Mus musculus: one gene and its partner. The protein of the gene in region 1 purifies or fractionates together with the protein of each later gene. This does not show direct contact. Links are inferred from orthologs where the notes say so. Each region holds a gene or a part of one and is shown on either strand. Other genes may lie near its edges. The genes, in order: Ap2a1 and Ralbp1.

Region 1 (7,385 bases):
CTTTTCCTCTACCAGGCCAGCTACTGTCTCATCGACAGCTTCCTGGGGAACTCAGAACTCATCGGAGACCTGACCCAGTGTGTGGACTGTGTCATTCCTCCAGAGGGGTCTGCCATGCAGGTATTGGGGCAGCTATAGAAATAACTGTGTCCCCACGGTTCTGCTCAGCCTTCCTTTGTTTTCTTTCTCTGGACATTGTCCTAACTCCCTCTTATCATCCTGGAATCAAGTTTTACCTGGAACCTTCTCACCAGGGTACACTGACTGCTTGCCTCCTGTCCTGCAGCTTCGGCCTCACAAGCACCCTGCCTTCCTGCCTTGCAGGGAACCCTGTCTAGGCAAATCCGCCTCACCCCATTCTAAGACAGGGCTCCCAGGCTGTCTTGGGACTCTCTCTGTAGGCCAGTCCGGCCGACCTCCAACTTACAACTCACAAACACCCACCAGCCTTTGCCTCTGAGTGCTGGGATTAAAGGCGTGCTCCACCATGCCTGCCCAATCTTCCTTTGCTAAAGTTATGCCTCTCCTGGCAGCATGTCCTGACCTCAGAGCTTCCGTAGGTCAGGACTGTGCCTTCTCAGCAAGTTTAGATGCTGTTGTTAAAACTATTGGCATCCCAGGACCTCCTGGTGCAGGCCTGTCACCCCAGCTACTCTGGAGGCTGGGGAGAGTATGCAAAGTTTAAGGCCGGCCTAGGCAGCTCAGTGAACACATGACTCAAAAATTCAGTATGACTTGGCAGGAGCAGCCCCATAACTGAAGGAGAAATAAATTTTAAGAAGCAAACAAACAAACAGATAAAATAAGTGTATGGAGAATTGAGAGTGCTGACTGATCAGGAAGGTTAAAGTATTCTCGTTCACAGAGAGGGTGTGAGACAGGAGCTTGGCAGCCTTGCGTGCTAGGGTGTCTCTGGTCTCATGGCTGCTCTTCCCCTCCCTGACTAGCCGGGAAGGTCCCTCCTTGCCCTATGACATCTAGTCTGACCTTTTCACCAGGAAACCCTTTCAGGGTTTGCAGAGGCCACTGGCACAGCCTTTGTCAGCCTGCTTGTATCAGGCCGAGTGGTGGCAGCGACAGAGGGCTGGTGGCGCCTAGGCATGCCTGAAGCTGTACTACTCCCCTGGCTGGTGGGGTCCTTGCCACCACAAGCTGCTCGAGACTACCCGGTGTATCTGCCCCACGGGAGCCCCACGGTGAGTGGGCGGGACCAGGGCGGGGCTTCCAGCAGGGCGGGGCCATGCTTAGCCCTATCTTGTGCCCGGCTACAGGTCCCACACAGGTTGTTGACCTTGACGCTGCTGCGTGGCCTGGAGCTGTGTCTGCTGTGCGGGCCGCGCCCGCCCCTTGGCCAGCTGGACCCACAGGTGAGGCGGACTGTTGCAGTGCTGCCCCTGTGCATCCCCTCCAACAGCGCCACCTGCTGCATGCAGGCCCTGGCCAACCAGCCCTGACCTCGCTCCCCATCTCACCCCCGTAGTTAATGGAACGCTGGTGGCAGCCTCTACTGGAGCCCCTCCGGGCCTGCCTGCCACTGGGCCCTAGGGCGCTACCCGAAGGGTTCCCACTACACAGCGATATTCTTGGGTAAGGCTCGATGGTTGGGCCCAGGGCCGGGAAGGCCATTTGCTCTGCCAGTTCCCCACAGCCTGATAGTGCTTTCCCCCAGTCTGTTGTTACTCCACTTGGAACTGCGACGCTGCCTCTTTACTGTGGAGCCCTCCAAGGATAAAGGTGCGTGGGAACGCAGTGAGTGGGAGGGCCGTGAGCCAGAGGCCACCTAGTCAAGGTGCTCCCTCTTCTTTAGAGCCTTCCCCTGAGCAGCGCAGGCGCCTCCTTAGAAACTTCTACACGCTGGTGGCCACCACCCACTTCCCGCCAGGTGAGTGGTGGGCATGGATCCCACATGGCATGTACACCCTGAAGCCGAGAATGCACCACATGCCTGAGTTGCCCCTGTCAATCTTACTAAATCCCTGACTTCTTCTTCAGTCAGTGTTTTTACAGTAAGCACAGGCTGGACATTTTGTCCCATGCCTGGAATGTCAGCCCTACTGTGGCCAAGGCAGAATGACCACGGGTTTGAGGCCACTTGGGCTATCTAGTACCTCCAAAGACCTGACAACTTACTGCTCCAGCCTCCTAGGCAAGCACTGTCAGTTGTGCTGATCCCGGTGATCCTAACCGCTGAGCAATGCTAGGTGGCAGTGCTCAAGCAGCCACTCCTGTCACCCTCCACAGTGCTGGGCACAGCCTTGCTCAAGCTGAGGCAAGTGAGGAGCCTGCAGACTCCACATTGGGAAGTTGTCCCAGGTCCCTAAGGCCCCAAGAGACACAGGCAGGGACCTAACGGTGCCCAGCCGGATAAAGACCTCACAAGTGTGCAAATCTGGAGGCCTGCACTTGAGGACAGGGTGTGATCCTCTGGAGGGTGACACCAGTGCTGAGGGCACTTGGGGTCCACTGCACGTTAGGTCTGTGAGTACACGGTGGTCATAGGAAGACCGCAAGGCTAGGCGGGAAGAAGCTGATCTGGGAGTTACTGTGGAGGAATGGGCTGGGCTGAGGGGTACCAGGCCCAATGAGGAGGCTGTGCTGCTCAACACAGTCCTCTCTGTCCTTCCTCAGAACCAGGGCCTGCAGAGAAACAAGAGGACACAGTCTACCCAGCCCAGATGCCCAGAGCCTGTTATCTCGTGCTAGGGCCAGGCATGGGGTGGCAGCTGGTGGCTGTGCAACTAGGGCTCCGGCTGCTACTATTGCTGCTCTCCCCTCACACCCCCACCCACGGGCTGCGAAGCCTAGCCACCCGCACTCTGCAAGCCCTCACCCCGCTCCTCTGATCACTCAGGGTGGGCAGTCAATAGCTGGGGTAATATTAGCGTCTCTCTGTTTATTCGCTCACAATAATACACAGCCCCTGGATGGGGAAAGGGAGGAAGGGGGAGGGTGACAGGGAAGGGGGGGGAGAGGTACCTACTTCCTCGGCCCCTCTCCCCTCTGTGCTTCGGGGGACAAGGGAGGGAGGGTGCTTCCCTTGACCCCCCCCTAGAATGTAAACAGCAGCAGATGAACAAAAATAAAATACAAAAGGCCAGAGGGAGCTCCCAGGCGCCCCCACCCCGGGCTCTTTGCTGTCGCCACTGGAGGGCCCCTCGCTGTCCCGCTCCACCACAGCTGCCTCCATCCCAGGGCTGCCTGGCACTGGCCATATACCAGGGCAAGTCCAGGGCTCAGAACTGCTGGGCCAGCAGCTCACACAAGTGACGGGAGACAGGCTCTTTGCTGGTGCGCAGGGTTAGACGGTACATCTGTGTGGAAAGGCGAGAGCCCGACAAGGGTACAAAGTCAGAGGGGTAAGGTAGGTTAAAAAAAAGCCAGAGGAGAAGTTAATGAGAAGCACAGGAAGGAGGGCTAGGTGCAGGGAAGGCGGGGTTCGCAGGGAAGGTGAGGTCACAGGGATGCCCACCCTCTGCACTCACTTGGGCCTGGGCATTGGGCTCCAGCCGAAGCAGACACCCCACCTGCAGGGCCTTCGTCTGGATGATTCCAGCACCCACAAAGTTCTCAGGGTTGGGATCCACATTGTCCAGAAGAGCAGAGCCAAACCCCAGAAGCTGCAACGACATGGGTATTAGGGAAGCAGAGCTGAGAAGCCTCCAGCCTACTGCAGGCTAAACTCTCAGGGGTGAGAACTGGTCCCAGCACCTGATAAACGCCCGTCTGTCTCACCTTGGCCTTAGTAACTTCAGCATCCATCGGGTGGTTGGCTTTGAAGATTTTCTGTGCCTCCTGCAGGGGGCTGGAAGGTTGAAAGCACTGTCAGGCATCTGAGGCCCCGCCCTCAGCCCTGCCCCGCCCCTCAGCCCCGCCCCTCACAGGCTCAGCTGCTTCCAGCGCTGGAAAAAGTCTTGGGCCGCCATCTCTGTGGGCTGGAAGAATTTGTTGATGGTCACTGGGAGCTTCAGAGTGAGGGACTGGGCGGTGCCACCGTACCTGAGCAGATGAGGAGCAGCTCAGCTGGGCCCCATCCCTGAAGACACTGCCTCACTGCCCTACAGCCCACACGGTGCTGCTCGCACTTACCGGAAGCGCACCGACAACAGTGGCGGCGTCAGGAAGTCTCGCAGACACTCAATGTTGAGTACTTGCTGCACCTGTGCGCCACCGTCCACTTGTGCCGCCACACGCTTGGTCTGCACCGCCAGCTGTGGCTCCATAGTCAAGGAAGCCAGGGACAGCGGTGGCACAACTGAGGCATCTTGAGGAGCGCAAGCCCAGCAGCTAGAGGCTCTGGGCCACTGCAACTGGCCTACACCTAACTCCTCCTTCCTCCTGTGAGATCTGGGACCCCTGGGAATATACTTCTCCAGCCTCCACTCCTAGCTTCAATGGACCCTAGTGGGCACGCTGGGACTTTTAGCCTCCAGTGCAAACTAGGTACATAAAAGTGTCCTGAGGAATAGATGAAAGCACCCAGCACCACAACATGCCTGTGTTAGTAGTGGTCATGCACCCAGATGGAAGCAATGACTGTCACCATCTGTACACAGGTCTGATTTCATGGAAATGGCTGGTATCTACACTCACCTACTCTGCCCTACTTCTGACAGAGCTTTCTACCCTGGGCTCTGGAAAGGCTGGTGAACGAAGCAGAAGGGGAAAGGCCAGTTAGTCTCACACATTCAGAATGAGGCCAATATAAGGGAGAGGGGGCCTGGCTCTGCCATACACATTCCAGGACATCCCAACTGCTCTTCCAAAAAAGCCACGGAAGCCAGGCTCACTGGTGCACACCTACACTCACAGCGTGGGAGGCAGAGACAGAAGACTCACCTCGACTCAAAGCCAGCCCATTCCGGAGCAAGTGGAGGTCAGCCTGGGTGATATTAAAGTTTCACAAACAACACAAGATCCTCATAAGCAGAAAGAGAGAAGCTACCCCCCGGAGGGTTAGGAGGCAAGTCACTCAGCTGATGTAGTGCAGGCCAACACTGCAGGCATCCCTGGTTAACCTGAGTGCAGCAAAAGTAAGGTGCCTGGCAGGGTACCTGGTGTGCTGGAAGTCACATACTGCATACTGGGTTACTGTCACCTGTGCCAGAGTAAAGAGGTCTACCAGCTATGAATAGTTTTACAAATGACATGTGCCTAACTCAGAGGGAGGGACTGAGCAAGTATGGACCTGGTAAGTGTTTCCCAGGGGCTTACTGGGGTGGGGTGGGGCACAAGAACACAGGATATGAGTCTGGAGGTCCCCAGGATGGACCACGGTGGGCAAGAAGTTCTGGAACTGCACAGAAGTCTTGTTGCCATAGAAGAGATACATGCGGCCTGCAGCGGGTGGGTGAGGGCTCCATCCAAGCTCCTCTGATCCCATACCCTGCCACCAGCCCAGCCAGGGGATACTGCCAACAACCCCACCCCTCCCCAGCACCCCTATTCCACCTCTGGGCCACCAGGACACACCCAGGTTCTGCCGGAACTCAGACTTGACTCCAATCTGCAGCAGCTGGTTCTCAAACAAGACCCCACTATTCTTACACACGAACCTAGGCAAGGTGGTGGGAGTCAGAATGGGAGGGCTCCTGTGTTCCCCACCTGTCCCCGCTCCCCTGCCCACCTCTCCCAGAACTCACTTATTCAACAGTTCATCTGCTTCTGGAATGGGAGGGCCTATGTCCTCAGGACCTGGGCTGGGGGAGAGGAAGAAGGGTGATGCCTAGGGGGCTGGAGGAGAAAGGCACAGGCAATGCTCTCTTGGAAGGAGACTCCCCAGAACCTACAGGCCAAGCTTCCCCTGAGACCCTCTGTTATGGGAGTGGGACCCCAGGAGAGGGATCTCCCAAGAACCCCAGCTTTCACTGTTTTCTAACCCTGCGTTTGCCAGTCACCAGGCACCCTTAAAGCCCACCCTGGGGACATCCATCAACCCAAAGCCAGAGGCCACCCCTTACTCAGCAGCTGGAGCTGGGTCAGCCAACAAAGCCATGGGGCTCTCAGGGGCAGGGGGCTCCAGCTCGCTGGGCCATCCAATCCCAGAGCAGACAGAGAAGACAGGTGTGGCAGGCAGCCAATCCCAGAGAGGCAGCAAGAGGGCCAGGGAAAGAGAGGCAAGAGGAAGGAGAGAACGAAGAGTGGACTGAGACACAGCTGTGGGAAAGGACAGCAAGGGTAGCTGGGCCACAGAGTCCAGACAGAAGGGGTGGGACTGATAGGACAAGGACAGGAGCTACCTGAGGAAGGCCTCCTCAGGAGTGGGCCCCAGGCTGGGCTGTGCAGTGGGGCCGTCAGAGAAGACATCCACCAGGAGGTTCCCGCCTACGGGAGCCGGGGGTGCAGCAGGGGGAGGGGCTGCCCGCAGCCCTAAGAGGTCCGCGGAGGGTGAGGGGGTCGACTGCAATCAAGGCAAGACAGGGTACAGGTGAGGCAGGGCAAGGCAGAGTGGGCCCAGCCTGGGCACATGGTCCATAACTGGGCTCACCACAGTGCTGGGGGTGGGCTCCACACCCCCATTGATGTCATTGCTGCTGGTGTCCCTGCGGCTGTCATCTAGGGCACTGGCTGCCCCAGGGCCCTTCTTGCGCTTCAGCTTGGCCAAGATGGACGACTCCCGCTCGGGAAATGGGGGCATTTCTTCTAGCACCGTAGCCTGTGGGCAGGACAGAATGTCAGGGGCACTTCTGTCCCAGGAGGGTGGGTGGTCCCAAGGACTCGGGCATTGGCTCTAACCAGAACATCGGTGCTGGCTACGGAGCTGAGGGTGAGGTACTCCACGGCCCGCTGCTGTAGCTCCACGTCGGCATTTCGCAGCTGGGAGCCGGCACGCAGAACCCCTTGGATGGTGGCCTTGGTCTCAGGGAAGAGGTTGATGAACTTGATGTAGGTGGACAGCAACAGAGCGCGGGTGGCCACGCTGCACAGGTGGAACTTGGAGTGCAGCAGCGAGAACTGCACTGGTGGGCTGTGAGGGAGGCGGCGTCAGCAGACATGCCCATCACCCACACTCCCCAGACGAGGCTGTGTCCTCATGCAGGGGTAACTGGGTTGTGTGCCGAGAGGGTCCCTAGGAACCCCACCCTTTCCCAGCTTGCAGCCACACTGTTTCCCCAGGCCCCTAAGAGAGCACCAAAATGAGGCTCCCTCACCTGGAGCGTGGGTCCCCAGCAATCAAGTTCCCAAACTCCCCAAGGATGTAGCCACCGACCTTCACCATGTTCTCATGACAGGCTGGGGCCTGGAGGGCCTGTGGGGGGAGCAAGAGAAGACAGGGTTTGGACAAGGACAGGAGAAACAGGAGAGTCCCTGTGGCCTCTGCGAATGTACACAGGGAGACAGAGGCCTGGGGGAGTTGTGAGGTGACTAGCCTGACTCAGTGTTCCAGT
Region 2 (7,580 bases), on another chromosome or scaffold:
CTAAGAGAAGCAGCCACAACCCATAAGCCTTCACAGAACATTTGCAGACTGTTCATAACAGCTAAAGCAGCAGCCCCAGAGCCCTGCAGCTGGTGAGAGGGTATAAAGTTAGGATGCATTCATTCCAGCCTCCCCATCTTCCCTCTGCCCTCACTACCTGTATCTCACTGGTGCGTGTTCACCCTCTGGGTGGTTCACACTCATTCACACACACACACACACACACATACACACCTCAGGAACAAACAGTTCCAGAGTCCTCCTTAACTCTTGCCCTGGGTCTCTGGAGGTTTCTGCCCCACGTTGGGCACCATCTGACCAAGCCAGCTCAGTCAGTCAACAAGTTCTCCAGGGCAAGAGCAAGGAGTAAAAAGAAAAAAGACAATTAGACAACATTGCAGCATGACCCCAACCAGCTCTGAGACTGAGGTGGGTTTATTTTTTACCAATCTGCTTTTATACCATTTTAATTACATGCAAGTAATTAGGTCAGTTCTAGGTTAAGGAAAAAGCAAGACAATAAACACAAATAGGCGAGGAACAAGCAAGGCAATAAACAAAGCCCCGGGATCGAAGTTTCTAGGCCTTATCAGGATGACCAAGATATCTGAGCCTACTTCCCTGTCCTAGTCCAAAGTCACATTCTTGCTTAAGCCTACTTCTTTGTTCTAGCCTAAAATCAGATTCCTGCCTGGACTTCCTTTCCTGTCCTAGCCCAAAAGTAGATTCCTACCTGAGCCTGCTTCCTTGTCCTGACCCAAAATTAGATTCCTGCCTGAAACCTACCTCCCTGTCCTGACCCCAATGTCAGATTTCTGCCAAGCAGCTCCAAAAGCTCTCCACAGTTCACACACTGGTTGTCACTGAGCAACTACTCACACCAGCATAACAGACAGAAGCATCTTAAAGCCAAGTATAAAGCTAGAGAGAAATGACCTGTTGAGCCAGTTCATCTGAGACCCGAGAGAGAAGCTGTTAGGATTGAGAGCAGGTCTGTGGTGCTGGGCACCAACAGATGGAGCAAGGGCAATGTTTCCTAACAGGGTGGTGGTGGTTACTTGACTATGTGTATTTGGTAAAATTAGTTACATTATGAAATTGACACCCAGTAGCTCCCTTCAAGACATCTCATGCAGTCAGGATTAAGGGAGCATATTCATCAGAAATAAGCATTTTTCATAGTGTAGCCACAGACCGAGATAACCATGTCATGGTCTTTTCTTACTTTAAAATGTTTATTCTTTGTGTGTGCGTGTGCATGTGGGTATGGACATGCAGTGGCACGAGTGTGGAAGTCAGAGAACAACTTGCCAGAGTCAGTTCTCTGCATTGTGTGAGTCCTAGGGAAGGCTTCTTGATACCAAGTGTCTGCCACGGGGCCACCTTGCAGTCTCGAACCACATCATAGTCTTTTATGGTTTGATTTGGTTTTTTCTTTTTGAGATGGGGTCTTTCTGTTGTCCTGGGTGTCCTGGAATTTACTATGGCCTTGAACTTCAAGCTAGCCTTGAACTCACATAGCTCCTCCTACCTCTGCCTCCTGAGTGCTGGGATTAAAGGCGGGTACCACCATCCCTGCTCTTACCTACAGTATATTCTAAGCCTAGTTAGCAAATGTCCGGTCATCATTACAGACAGTTCCCTACTGCTGCTGGGGTTTTCTTCATTTCTGTAATTTAAGAGGACCATTTGTTGATTGTGTGTTACATGTAGGCCGAACAGTTCATCATGTGTTGTCTTTGACAGGAGTGTGAAACCAAGATTGCACAGGAGATAGCTAGTCTTTCAAAAGAGGATGTTTCCAAAGAAGAAATGAATGAAAACGAAGAAGTTATAAATATCCTTCTTGCCCAGGCAAGCTATACCTTTTGATTTCTAAAGGGATTTATTGGTCATTTTTCAAATAGAAGCACAACTATAGACTTTTTAAAACCAAAATTGTAATGAACTCCAAAGAAGTTGTTCCTGTTCTGTGGCCCTACCCTTGTGCTGTGTGTGCTGAAATGTTAAGTGTGGAGGGAGAAAGAAGCTGCCTTCTGTTTAGCTTCCTCGTTTCTGTAAGTCGACATAGAAGTATTGTGGCATGTTCCTGATTTACAAGAACAGAAACAAAAACTCTGAGGAGAGAGAAGCCCCAGATGATTTTCTTAGAGTTTCCCACCTCAGCTTTCTTGGAGTATAACTTCATCCATATATGCTCTGAGGTAAACGACGAGGGTCTGTGTTTGAGCATGGAGAAGTGGCCTCTCTCACTCGGGAACTTTTCAGTGGTTCCTGGACTGTGCCCACAGTGCCCACGGTGCCCACGGTGCCCCTTGTTTGGAAGGAGTTGCTGGTGCTCTTGCCTCCAAGGCATCTTCTCTCTACTGTTTGCTCTAGACCCGAGAGCCCTAGCTGGAGTGCAGGCAGGGCGCTCTCCACATCACTGCTCTCAAGCAGTTTAGGAATGGTTAACCTGTCAAGAGTTCTTACTTTGATCTGAAGGGCGTGGCTGGGGACAGTGAGGGAGATCCTGTAACCTTTCCTTCTGTCTGTTCTGCCCCACACCTGACACTGGTACCAGCCACACATGCATCTCTTGGGTCCTGTTCCTAGTGATGCTGAAAAGTCACTGTGACCCTGAATCCTGAGAGACAGGAAGCCAAAGCTGATGAGTTTTAGATCATGTTTATTTGTGCATATGTATTGCACATACATGCATTCAGATCCCCCCTGGGCCAGAAGAAGGTGTTGGACCTCCCTCCAACAGATGGTTGTGAGTCCTTGATGTGGCTGCTGGGAGCCAGATGTGGGTCCTCTGGAAGAAGAGCAAGTGCTCGTATCCGCCGAGCAGTCTCTTCGGCCGCGAGCAAGGCAAAGCAGATGTTGCCTTTGGGTCCTCTGCCGGGGTGTAGGGGGCTCATGGGAGCCTTGCAGAAGCTACAGCTGGCCCTTGTGTGCACTTTGTTGTTAAGAAGGGTCTAGACCTTCTCTCAACGTGACTTGGTGTAGCTTTTCTTGATTCTGAGACAGTGGCATGGTTTTGTTGTAGTAACTTGTGTTCAGCACCGAGCAGGGTGACAGGAGAGGCTCTGGAGAGGTGGCATTTCCTCTAGCAGAGCTCAGACAGGTGCCACCCATTGTCATTGTTTCAGGAGAATGAAATCCTGACAGAACAGGAGGAGCTCCTGGCCATGGAGCAGTTCCTGCGTCGTCAGATCGCCTCAGAGAAAGAAGAGATCGACCGCCTCCGAGCTGAAATTGCGGAGATCCAGAGGTACAGGGGCCTCGGACTGGAAGCTTCCAGCCGGGTTGTGCTGTATATGAGCAGAGCTGAGCTAAAAGTTCAGTGGTTTTCATCTTCCTTGTGCATGGAGCCGTTAGCAGCCCCTCCTGTTGTGGTGACTCCAGCCATTACATTGTTTCCTTGCTACTTCATAACTGTAACTTTGTTACCATTATGAGTTGTAAGGTAAATACTGATATGCAGATGGTGGCCTTAGGCGACCCCTGGGAAAGGGTTGTTTGGCATCCATAGAGCTTGTGACCCACAGGTTGAGAACCACTGTTTTAGACATTCCTGGAAAGAACTGGGTTTCTGAAATCAGTCACTTTAAGCTCCTTACTGGGTCTTAGGCAGCACTGGGTCAGGTCGATGCTCAGGCGTGGGTGGGTCTTAGCCGGCCTCGGAGTTCACTGTAGTGCTGCCTCGTCTCCACACAGCCGTCAGCAGCATGGCCGCAGTGAGACGGAGGAGTACTCGTCCGACAGCGAGAGTGAGAGCGAGGACGAGGAGGAGCTGCAGCTCATCCTGGAGGACCTGCAGCGGCAGAACGAGGAGTTAGAAGTGAGTGGGGGACAGCCTCCAGAGGGTCTTGGGACCACAAACCACCTATTTTCTCACTGGAAACTTACGGTGGAGAGGAATTCAAGAACACTTGTTTTTTAAGATTTACTTTATTTAGATTTATTTTATGTATATGAGAAGTACACTGCAGCAGTCTTCAGACACCACAAGAGGGCATCAGATCCCATTACAGATGGTCACAAGCCACCGTGTGGTTGCTGAGAATTGAACTCAGGACCTCTGGAAGAGCAGTCACTGCTCTTAACCGCTGAGCCATCTCTCCAGCCCTCAAGGGCATTGTTAGCAGGATGAAATGTGTGCTCTAGGCTGTCTGGAGTGGGGCGTTTTCCCCTGACCTTGGTTACAAGTGAGCCTAAAAGAGGTGAGAGGCGCCTGGCCACTGTCCTAAGTCGCCTTGCAGTGGCTTTCTTGTAGTCTGTGGGGTACCACAGAGGAGTGGGTGTGACAGGATGCCTAGGAAGCTGGACTGAGAGGGAGATGCTGGCCTAAGCGGGGTTCTCTTTTCATCCTGAATAAACATTGTCTTCTGTAAGGACGACTAGGTAAACAGACACCTTTGCTTCATTCATGTTCACTGAACTGCCTGCCAGGCAAGTGCGCATGGGGTCAAGCACAGAGGCTGGGCGCGGTGGCTCAGGAGGCAAAGAGGGGCATTTCTGAGTTGGAGGCCAGTTTGGTCTACAGAGTGAGTCCAGGACAGTTGGGGCTTGAAAAACAACAGAAAGATAGAAAAACTACTGTGGCTGGAAAGATGGCTGAGCAGTTAGGAGCACTGGCTGTTCTTCCAGAAGACCCAGGTTCATTTCCTAGCACCCACATGGCAGCTCTTAACTGTCTAACTCTGGTTCTAAGGGACTCAACACACTCACACAGACATAAATAAAAATAATATTTTAAGGATTGCCCAGGACTCTGCTATCCACTGTGTGATAGGATCCAGGGACATGGCCCCACTGGTGAAGGGGCTGCAGTGAGGCTGAGGCCCGGAGTTAAAGCCAACTCCCTTCACGTGCACACACCTGTGTCACACACGCACCTGTACCCCTTAAGGGATCCCTGCACTCAGGAGGCAGAGGCGCACAGAGCTCTGAGTTTGAGGCCAGCCTGGTCTACAGAGTTGAGACCTTGTTTTGGAAAACATAAGAAAGGAAGTTAGTGTGAGTGAGACGGGTTGCTGGGAATTCTGGCATTTAGAAGACACATTGGCAACCTGGTTTGATCTCCATTTTCCTGAACAGGAACAAATGGCAGAATCGGGAGTGTTCTGTTGTGCACGTGGCGTAGGGCCTGCTCGAGCCAAAGCGGCTCCCCTGCATCTCGCCGTGTTCTCAGTTGGGGAGGGACGGGTCAGGGCTTCCCCAGTGTCACACCGAGCGAGCAGTGGGACTGGCACCTCTGCTCACCTCACTGAACCAAAGTCGAGTTGTGGGCACAGCTGCTTAGGATGCGGGGAAATCCCGAGGAAGAAGGGTGTTCCGATGGCTGGGGCGGTTGCAGGAGCTCGGGGTGAGCTACCCGTGAGTTCCTGCTGAATGAGTGAGTCCCCAGCATTTAAGCAGCTGTGGTTCCCACACTCCTCAAGGAGCACAATTCAGATGTGGTCAGTAAAGAGAGACTTTGACTTGGGAAGAGTCTCAGCTTTTACCCAGCCCTGGCCCCTGTCCTCACTGCTCTGGTGACACATCGTTTCCTAAATGTGTTTCTCTTTGTAACTCAGAGTCCATACTCAGGCATTCAGAGTGATGCTTGTACCCTAGCCACATATCCATCTTCTTATCTAATGCTGCACCAGCCAGGCTGGCTAGAATAGAACTAGATCTTTCTCAGGATGGCTTGCAGCCTGTGCTCTGCCTAGATTCCTTGTGCCCTTAAGTGGTAACTGCCCTTTCTGTCATTCTTTAAGATAAAGAACAATCACTTGAACCAAGCAGTCCATGAGGAGCGGGAGGCCATCATCGAGCTCCGAGTGCAGCTCCGGCTGCTCCAGATGCAGCGAGCCAAGTCTGAGCAGCAGCCGCAGGAGGAGGAGGAGCCCGAGAGGCGAGGGGGCATAGGCCCACCGCCCTGTGACGGTGTCCTCGAGGTGCGGGTAGCCAAGGAGCAGGCGAAGGCCTCGCCCAGCAAAGACCGGAAGGAGACGCCCATCTGAGCTGCGGGCCGGGCCCTGTGCATCTTACTGTGAGTGTGAGTGAGCCGCCTGCCTGCTGGACACTCTGTAAAGGCTCGCTCTCAGAGACGTCCCCTCTCACACACGTCTGACTCCGTGTCAGGCTCAGGGCCTGGGAGGCTGAAGCAGTGGACACACGGGGGGCTTGCAGGGAACACAGGCATTTCCAGATAGTGTCAGCTTATTTGAAAAATAATTTTCTTTGTTAAAAATAACTATTTTAACCTTTGAGTGGCTTCTTTTTAAACCAAAAATTCTTTTCTTTGGCTTTTTTTTTTTAAATCACAGCAGAATCAGGCTCTCTTTCTTATCAAAGGGTAGGAACCAAATCAGGTCACTTCTGCGCCTGCCTCGTGGACGCTCGTGGTCTCCCCAGCCCTGCAGGGTCTCTGGCCACTCTTGTTTGTGCCTTCCACACCTTTTGGTGCAGATTGTTCAGTGGGGAGCTGCCTCATATTCTCTGACTGGCCAGAAAGGCTCTCGCTGGGGTTCCCTGCACCACGTTGCTTTTCCACTTCCGAGTTGGGTCTGTCTGTGTGAGTCAGGACGGCCCAGGTTGGTGGCAGACAGAAGTTACCTGTGCAGCCTGCCACCAGCCTGGGCAGTGCAAGCCACTCACTCACTGCCAGGGATCAGCAAAGGCCTCTTCTCTGAGGTGGTCGGAGGTGACCACCTTGACTCTGAGGCGTTGCACAGGAAGCTTCTCAAACCAGAGCCCTTCTCCACACTGACCTTCCAAGAAAACCACAGTGACTTCAGCTGCTAGCTTGGGCTAGGATACACACCTCTGCCAGGATAAGCCATGTAAATGCTCTCACGCAGAACGTTCACCTTTCCGCGTCATCTCAAGGGGCTGCTATAAGGACTCTGACAGAACCGAGCCGAACCGGTAGCTGTGACTGACCCCACCTGGTGTTTGCTTCTAACTCAGATGACTGCTCCCCGAGTCTGGGAGGCCTGCCTCTTAGGCAGCCAGATCTCACTGTCAGATGAGTGGCCCCCAGGGAGGTCCCCTGTGGCTCTGAAGACAAATCCCACACTCTAAAGTGAGCGACAAACCCACAGGAGGGCTCTGGTCTCCTCCTAGTTAGTATTTATTTCAGCGCCTGTCTTTTGTGCGGTTTTTTGTTCGCCTCTGCCTATTGCACTGTTGTGACTTGTTGGCCATTATTTGATTTTTGTACGGAAAAAAAGCTTTGTTATAGAAATCAGCATACTATTTTTTTAAATCTGGAGAGAAGATATTATGGTGACTGGAAATATGGTCAGGTGTCAAATATAAATGTACAAACGCCTTGCTGCATCCCGTCCGGTGTACAACATCCACTTTATATTTGCTGGCAATATTGAAGAATTCTTTTTGTTTGTGTAAACTCTAATTTCTATCAAGGTATCATGGGTTTTTAAAATTAGTATTTCATTACAAATGTCTCGATGTTGGTTAACTAATTTTTGCCAGGACCATTATTGATCAAGGAAATAAATTCAACAGCCATTTGAGAAAAAAAAAAAAAAAAGGCTTCTATTGTCCACTCTTCTCTTTGAAATAATTGCATAGCCAGCATC

Evidence for each region.
Region 2: the proteins of Ap2a1 (region 1) and Ralbp1 purify together in Homo sapiens (affinity purification with mass spectrometry; 5 studies listed by BioGRID and IntAct, with this or other methods). This does not show direct contact. The link is inferred for Mus musculus from reciprocal best matches to the Homo sapiens genes AP2A1 and RALBP1.

Annotation. Positions count from the first base shown.
Region 1 is NC_000073.6:44,897,505-44,904,889, forward strand, and holds the end of Ap2a1 (AP-2 complex subunit alpha-1), read right to left. Parts: intron 7,247-7,385; coding exon 7,149-7,246; intron 6,965-7,148; coding exon 6,733-6,964; intron 6,653-6,732; coding exon 6,485-6,652; intron 6,398-6,484; coding exon 6,237-6,397; intron 6,024-6,236; coding exon 5,958-6,023; intron 5,697-5,957; coding exon 5,640-5,696; intron 5,553-5,639; coding exon 5,470-5,552; intron 5,335-5,469; coding exon 5,245-5,334; intron 4,211-5,244; coding exon 4,087-4,210; intron 3,997-4,086; coding exon 3,880-3,996; intron 3,803-3,879; coding exon 3,733-3,802; intron 3,618-3,732; coding exon 3,483-3,617; intron 3,312-3,482; coding exon 3,234-3,311; 3' UTR 2,869-3,233; downstream 1-2,868. Other genes in the region: Fuz (protein fuzzy homolog), read left to right, coding at 16-120, 999-1,196, 1,272-1,367, 1,481-1,587, 1,670-1,734, 1,808-1,882, 2,629-2,843.
Region 2 is NC_000083.6:65,848,366-65,855,945, reverse strand, and holds the end of Ralbp1 (ralA-binding protein 1), read left to right. Parts: intron 1-1,746; coding exon 1,747-1,854; intron 1,855-3,134; coding exon 3,135-3,256; intron 3,257-3,702; coding exon 3,703-3,826; intron 3,827-5,750; coding exon 5,751-5,996; 3' UTR 5,997-7,531; downstream 7,532-7,580. UniProt on the Homo sapiens protein: Multifunctional protein that functions as a downstream effector of RALA and RALB. As a GTPase-activating protein/GAP can inactivate CDC42 and RAC1 by stimulating their GTPase activity.